Linked DNA regions of Sus scrofa. The protein of the gene in region 1 interacts with the protein of each later gene in a pairwise test. Links are inferred from orthologs where the notes say so. Each region holds a gene or a part of one and is shown on either strand. Other genes may lie near its edges.

Region 1 (3,745 bases):
CACAAAAAAAGGAGTTCCCGTCGTGGCACAGTGGTTAACGAATCCGACTAGGAACCATGAGGTTGCGGGTTCGGTCCCTGCCCTTGCTCAGTGGGTTAATGATCCGGCATTGCCGTGAGCTGTGGTGTAGGTTGCAGACACGGCTCGGATCCCGCGTTGCTGTGGCTCTGGCATAGGCTGGTGGCTACAGCTCCGATTCAACCCCTAGCCTGGGAACCTCCATATGCCGTGGGAGCGGCCCAAGAAATAGCAACAATAACAACAACAACAAAAAAGACAAAAGACAAAAATAAATAAATAAATAAATAAATTAGTGCACACATACCAATTCCCATTCAGGAGCCCTTCTGCTTTTATGTGTGTGTGTGGTTTACAGTCACTTTCACCCTAATAGCTAAGACAGTGTTTCTTTTCCTTTTTTTTTTTTTCCCAGCCACACCCACGGCATGCAAAAGTTCCCAGGCCAGGATTCGAACTCATCCACACAGTGACAGTGCCAATCCTTAACCCACTGAGCCACCAGGGAACTCCCAGTAATTTTTTTTTTTTTAACTATCTTTGTCTCCTCCAAATCTACACCAGTGCCAAGTACACAGTCATAATACAAATACATGTAATACTTTTAAAACCTGAATTGGGAGTTCCCGTCGTGGCGCAGTGGTTAACGAATCCGACTAGGAACCATGAGGTTGCGGGTTCGGTCCCTGCCCTTGCTCAGTGGGTTAACGATCCGGCGTTGCCGTGAGCTGTGGTGGAGGTTGCAGATGCGGCTCGGATCCCGCGTTGCTGTGGCTCTGGCGTAGGCCGGTGGCTACAGCTCCGATTCAACCCCTAGCCTGGGAACCTCCATATGCCGCGGGAGTGGCCCAAGAAATAGCAACAACAACAACAAAAAGACAAAAAGACAAAAAAAATAAATAAATAAAACCTGAATTGTACTCTTAACCAAGTCATTCAGATTCCAAAGTCTCTGTTCTTATCCACTGTGATTTGCTGCCCAAATATAAAATCAATTGTGTGTGTGTGTGTTTGTATAGGCAGGGAATTCAGCAGCCTGATTATCAAGATCCTTTCCTCTCCAGGACCTTTCCCAGAACTTAATTAAGCTTCCTAGATCCTAGGGTTCTGGCCCTACCCCTCAGCTCCGATGTTCCTGGCTCTGTGAGAGGGGTCTCATCACGCGTTGGCCCTTCCTGGGTCCCAGGCGCCTCTGGCCCTGAAGACAGCTCCCCCTGGCTCTCATGGTGTCGGAGAAGGGCTTCCACAGTTTCATCCAGCTGAAAGGAGAAAGCACCAAAAATGTTAGGAATCCCTCAGGTGCTTCCTAGCATGATACTCCCTTTCTAACAGAGAAGTCTGAGAACTGGCAGCTGGATCAAAGCCCAGTCTTGTAAAGGAGAGGGGCATTCACCTGGGCCCAGTAGCGATTGACAATGAGGAGTGTGGCATCATCTGTAGCCTGCCTCTTCTCCAGTTTCTCAATTCGTTCTCGGAGTTCATCTTCACAAGCCTGTCTCTGTTCCAATCGCTCTGCTAGTTTCTTGTTCTTGAACTGCAGAACCTTCAGGTCCATCTCCTCCTACCAAGGAAACAGAGGGGCCGAGGAGAGAGAGGGTCAAGAAGGGCCCAAGAAACCAATCAGAGAAAGAGACAAAGGAAAGCAGATAGAACGGATGTGAGAGGGGAGCAGACTGCTAACAGGACATACAAAGCTCAGACACCCACGGAGGAAGCGTCTTGTTTGTAAGGAGCGTCACGTTCTGCTCCTGCCTCTTTCTACCTGAAGTCTGACATGTCTGTCACACGCTCTCTGGGAACCTGTTTGCCTATCTGCGAGGGGAAGGCAGACGTCATGTCCTAGGTTTCCTTCAACAGAATGCTCTGTAAAGTGGATCTGGTTAAACTTGGGGAACTGGGAAAACGGTTCTGGGAAGTTGGGCGGGCTGGGGCAGGAGCCCACGAACCGTGGAAGAGATGCCCCCAAGACGAATGGGCTCTATAAGCGTTGTTGTTGTCTTCTCCTCGCGGTTCAGCTTCTTCTCTGGGGGCCCCGAGCCCCCATCGCCGGCGGCGCGTTTGTTGCCGGGCCCAGACATGGCCGCGGCGGCGAGGAGCGGCCCCCGGTCTCTCGAGGACGTCAGGCAGGCGGACTCGGCACTTCCGTCACCTGCAGAAGACAGAGAGTAGAGCTGGGGAAGGGGACGGAGGTCCGCAGCCACGAGCCTACCCCCGCACACAGCTGCCGGACCCCGCCCCGCCGGCCCCGGGCCCCTCACCAGCAGCAGGATCAGCCTAGCGCCGCCATCTTGGACTTCACCGGACGTCACTGGGCACCCCCGCCCCCCAGCACAGAGCGCAGGCGCCAGAGGCAGCGCCGGATGTGGCGAAATCTTCTCCAGTTCCTGTTTCTATTGGTTGTGCTTTGTTCCTCCTCTTGCGTCCGTTTGGTTTCTTTCTGAACACCTCCTCTTTCTCTCAGTGATTGGCCGGTAGGCAGTTGCCATGGTAACTGACAACACACTTCCACTCCGCAGTCCTAATAACGCCGCCTGCCTCAGATTAACAACTTCGAAGAGAGGGCACCGGGGCGGGGTTTGCATCTTATTATGCATGCGCATTCTCTTCTCACAGTTTGGCGAGCACGGTACACTTTCTCCCTTCCTACTGGATCCTCCTTAGCAACCGTCACCGTTGAGACGGAGGGACGCCCCCAGCCGATTGGCTGTACCCGGCCTCTCTGCAGCGTAGATTGGCTGAAGCGTCGATAAGGGCCAGGCCTTGGCAGTCGCCGCCCGAGATCGGCTGTCCCAGAACCGAGGCAGGATAAAGACGGTGGGGACCCGCGACACAGAGGAGCGACCAGATGATCCGCCGGAAATCCAGCCAATTCCGGCGACTGAAAAGGCGGTCGGAGCTGGACCAGCACTCCGAACTGCGGCGAGAACATGAGAAAGACCATGAGAAGGACCTCAGCTCGTTGGATGAATCGGCCAAGAGGATGGGAACAGGAGTGCGGACCGAGTCAGGGACCGTGGCCTCAGTGGATGCGAATGAAGATCCTGCAGCCAACTTGTTCCCGGTGAGGACAGGTCAGAGTGGTCTGCTCATGAATGTTTATAAAAGGGCTCCCAGGCAGGGGGCCGTTTGTTTCCCGGGCTGCCTTGGTGAAGAGGCAGGCTTGAACTGCTTGTCAATACGCTCATGAATAGTACTTAGGGATCGCCGAAGCCCAGCCCGCCGGTATTGCTAGTACACAGTTTTTAAGATGAGAAGGCAAGGTATCGCGTTGTTAGACCACCAGAGATTCACCAAGGGCAAAGAACCACGGGCCAGGACTAACAACGCAGCTCTGCCTTTCCCAATCCGCTTTCTCTCCCGCAGCCGCCGCTACCCCAGCCCCGGATCTGCATATGGTGAGTGTGAAGAGCTTTGAGGGAAAGTTACCCTTCACACTTGTATTATTCCTTTAGCGCTTCCTTACGAGCCTGTCAAACAGGACGGAATTCCCATTTTACAGACAAGGAGACTGAGGCCCAGAGATACAATTACCCAAGATGACTATAAGCCAGGTCTCCCGCTGCCTCAGTGACTTTGTTATAAAGTTACACAGCGAGTTAGTGGAAGAGCCAAACCTCTTAACTCAGGTCTCTTGCTTCCCAGTCCTACGCTCTAGCCATCATAGCCTTGTCCTAAGACTAATGCATAATGGCCAACACCTTTTCCCCTCTTTTCCTATGATAGGAAG
Region 2 (3,745 bases), on another chromosome or scaffold:
ATTTACTGAAGTTCCAGGATAGTATCTAAGAGGAACTATTAACTGCCCCTCTACTACTAAATTATTCATAGTAAACTTTGATTAACTCCTTTTTTTTTTTTTTTCTTTTTAGGGCCTCGCCCACAGCATGTTGAGTTTCCCAGGCTAGGGGTCTAATTGGAGCTACAGTTGCTGGCCTATGCCACAGCCACGCCAGATCCAAGCCACGTCTGCAACCTACACCACAGCTCCTGGCAACGTCGGATCCTTAACCCACTGAGAGAGGCCAGGGATGGAACCCGCAACCTCATGGTTCCTAGTTGGATTTTGATTAACTCCTTATTTTCTTTTCTTTTGTCTTATTTATTCTGAGGTTCCTGCAGCAAGACCCAAATGGACAGTGCTTTAGCTGCCAGAAGCTAACTCCTAAGAAAGTTATGCTAGCATCCCAATAACCAAACTACATATTCACATCGAATTCTCCAGGCTGTCCTTTGGAAACACTCCCTCTCCTTTTAGGAATGCCCTAGAAGGGAGAAGAGAAAAAAAAGCACAAGAAGAGCAAAGAAAATGGGAACAACTTTAAATTTAGACTCAAGTTCTCCAAATACCAAGTGATGACTTCTAGGAGATTTAGGTTTTTAATTAATCAAATGCAAAGCACATGAAGACTATTTTCTGTGCTCTGTATGTACATTATACAAGAAGCCTCCTGTGATTAAAAAAAAAAAAATCAAAGCATGCAGCCTACTATACATGTGTAGCAAAAAGAACCTTGGATTTGCTTTCACCTGTGTCTGGGCACAGCCATCTCCATTAATTATACTAAATCTAGACCCTTAGGTGTCAGGTGACAAGACTGGACTAGACTATCCTCTCAAGCCATGTCCTAGCAGAAAACTGATATTTCATTGTTAAAATTAAGTAGGTGGGATTTGGTTCCTACCCTCGAGTGCCCCAACATTCAAGGAGAGAAAAATATAAGTGGAGAAAATTAATTAAATCCAACTTTTTGATCCGTATTTTTTTCCTACATCGTTGACATCTGCCAATGCTTATCAATTCTTAAGCATTAACAGATGATAAAATACATATCATCATGAGCAATTAGTTACATATGTTAATCCTCACAAAACCAAGAACAGGCATGTATCATTAATCCAATACTACAGACTAAGGTTTAAAGAGGTGATATAATCTGGGCAAGATCACAAAATAAATGGCAAGGTCTAACTTTGAACTTAAACCCTCTGTCTCCAAAGTCTGGCCTCTTAACCACTTTACAACACTATTTTCAAGTATTAATAACTAAATTATTTTTAGTTTCTTTTTGCTTTTCTAGATGTGTATTCTTGACTGTTGTTTTTTTAATGTAAGCATCGTTTCCTATTTTTAACTAGCTAAATTATTCCTGGTTTCTATGACGGCAATTCCAGGATCCCCATGAGTGCAAATATCCAAATGGGAACCCCGATCTAACCTCTACGAGCTCTCTAGTGAGTCTTCTGGCATTCTTTTCTTAAACGAGAGAAATAAGCTTACAACCAATTCAAGATCTAACATAACGACCTACGTATATCTATTTATTAAAGACTTCTCGCGTGCGGATAAGAAGCTGATTTTTCTTCCCCAGTGGTTTGAAAGAAGGCAAAACCCCGGATGACCCGCACAGGAGAGCTGGGATTGCAATTCATCAGATCTCTCACCTTCCGAGAGCCATTAATACATGATGTTTGAGGGTCAAAACGAGACACTGGGACAAGTGAGTCCTGGTCACCGTCTCTAAGGGGAAGCGGCACAGACACAAATATACTTCCCTGCTCGGCGGTACCAAGGACCTTATCTTAAAGAGTGCTTAGAGACCAGGGGTGCACCAGGCCTCCCCTCCGCCGACGACTCAAGAGGTGCGGTGGGGGATAGCACGAGCTTTCCAGCAGTCGCCCAGCCACACTCCCGCTGTGCCACCCATCTCCCCGCAAGTTCCTGGGGGAAGGGCTTCCCGTCCCTTCGCTCAGGACCTGAAGACCGAAGAAGCCAAACCTCGGCCCCACCTGGGCGCGGCTTCGGCGGCCAGGCCCAGAGCACTCACCATCGTTCTCGTCGCTGTGCCGCCGCCGTGACATGCCGCACGTTGTGTATGCGGCGGAGCCTAGACGCCGGGCGGGAAGAGCGGCAGGAACCGTCGGGCAGCCGGCCGGCGCGAGGACAGCGGCGAGGCTCACGAAGTGGCCCGCGCGCAGGCGCACTCGCTCGCGACGGCTCCCGGAAGCGCAAGGGGGAGAAGTGGCCGGGTGGGCTCGGCGGGCTCGGATCCCGGAGAGCCGGCGTCTGGAACCTCACCAAGCCACTGCCGCCTCGTCCGCACGCAACCGCCCCCTCGGGCTGCCTCCGCCTCTCCGCTGCTTCCTTCGCCCGCCTCCGCGGGAAGTCCTTCCGGGGCCACGCGGAGAGCACCGCCTCCCCAGGCGGCCGGAGCCCGCAGGCCGCGAGCCACGCCTTGGCGGGGGTGGTCTAGGAGGGACGCTCTAGTTCAGACTCCCTCCACTTCAGACTCCCCCCCGGGCCTCTCAGTGGTTTTCCCGGCGGCCCTTTCGCTAACGGCCTAGACTTCCGGGGCGAGGTGAGGTCCCCGGCGTTCCTTCCTACGTAAACAGGGGCGGGGGCTGGAGGTGCAAGGGTGGTGAGAGGTGACAATTGCTAGGCGGAGACGGTTTGGTGAAGAAAGATCTAAGAAAGGATCTGGACTGGCGGGTACGTGCTCATCTTTCTCCCACTTCCGGGCCTCTGCCGACTCGGGAAAGCTGGGAGGAGAGATTGGGCCAGGCCCGGCGCGCGGGGTGGGGCCCAAGCGGGAAGCGGCGCCGCTCGAGCAGCTCTGGGGACCGAAAGACCCTGCCTAGCTTGAGCTTGCTGCTCTGCGGTTAGCTTCTGACCGTCGTCTGACCTCTCGCCCCTCTGAGTTGTTGATCGCTTTAGTAATGTTTCCAGTGGTTATTGGATACTTCCATTATGTGTATGTGAATATTCTCCGCCCTGACCTCTGTGGTGAACACCACGGCTGCTTATCTGCTTTGTCGATGGCCATTTGAAATTTCACACGCGTGAAATGAACCTTTCATTCTCCTAGCCTAACCTAGCCTAACCTATTGCTCCTTCACTTTTACGCATCCATCCGATTGCTTAATCCAAAAATGTAGGTAGGAGTCATTCTTGGCTCCTTACTTACTACCTAATGAACTATCAGTAAACCTTATCAGCTCTACTTTCAAAACCGATCTGGAATCAGTTACTCCTTTTTTACTACTCTCTCATGACTTTGCGATGTAAAGTAACCTGACCTACAGGGTCCTACTCTTTTATCACTATGCTCCAACAATTCTTACTTTCTTCCTGTACCTCCAGTAAGGCAAGCTTGTTCACCCTTTAGGCATTTATATTCCTTTGCCTGAAGATTTCTACCCTTAAGTATGCATGGATGGCTCCTTGGCATTTCAGTCCCAGCTCAAGCATCAGCCCCCTTAGGAATCCTTCCCTGGCCACCCAACCTTTTACTCCATACCACAAATATTGTATTTATTATGTGCCAGGCAGTGTTCTAGACATTGAGGAGGCTGAGGTGAACGAAGGAAAACCCCTGCTTTCTCAGTGCTGATGACCGGTTGAGGAATCCAGCAAACTGCAGTCAGAGGTGGTGGGCAAAAATAGAAAAAGATGCGATTAGGGTGTGGTGGGAAAGGCTTTATAAGAACCTTGGACTTTATCTGAT

Evidence for each region.
Region 2: the proteins of RNF40 (region 1) and NCBP1 interact in binary tests that used the Homo sapiens proteins (3 or more experiments, as listed by UniProt). The two-hybrid records come from large-scale screens. The link is inferred for Sus scrofa from reciprocal best matches to the Homo sapiens genes RNF40 and NCBP1.

Annotation. Positions count from the first base shown.
Region 1 is NC_010445.4:17,633,583-17,637,327, forward strand, and holds the start of RNF40 (E3 ubiquitin-protein ligase BRE1B), read right to left. Parts: upstream 2,409-3,745; 5' UTR 2,277-2,408; intron 2,168-2,276; 5' UTR 2,097-2,167; coding exon 1,965-2,096; intron 1,580-1,964; coding exon 1,412-1,579; intron 1,278-1,411; coding exon 1,136-1,277; intron 1-1,135. Other genes in the region: CCDC189 (coiled-coil domain-containing protein 189), read left to right, coding at 2,864-3,079, 3,382-3,413, 3,742-3,745.
Region 2 is NC_010443.5:239,491,373-239,495,117, reverse strand, and holds the start of NCBP1 (nuclear cap-binding protein subunit 1), read right to left. Parts: upstream 2,546-3,745; 5' UTR 2,103-2,545; coding exon 2,069-2,102; intron 1-2,068. UniProt on the Homo sapiens protein: Component of the cap-binding complex (CBC), which binds cotranscriptionally to the 5'-cap of pre-mRNAs and is involved in various processes such as pre-mRNA splicing, translation regulation, nonsense-mediated mRNA decay, RNA-mediated gene silencing (RNAi) by microRNAs (miRNAs) and mRNA export.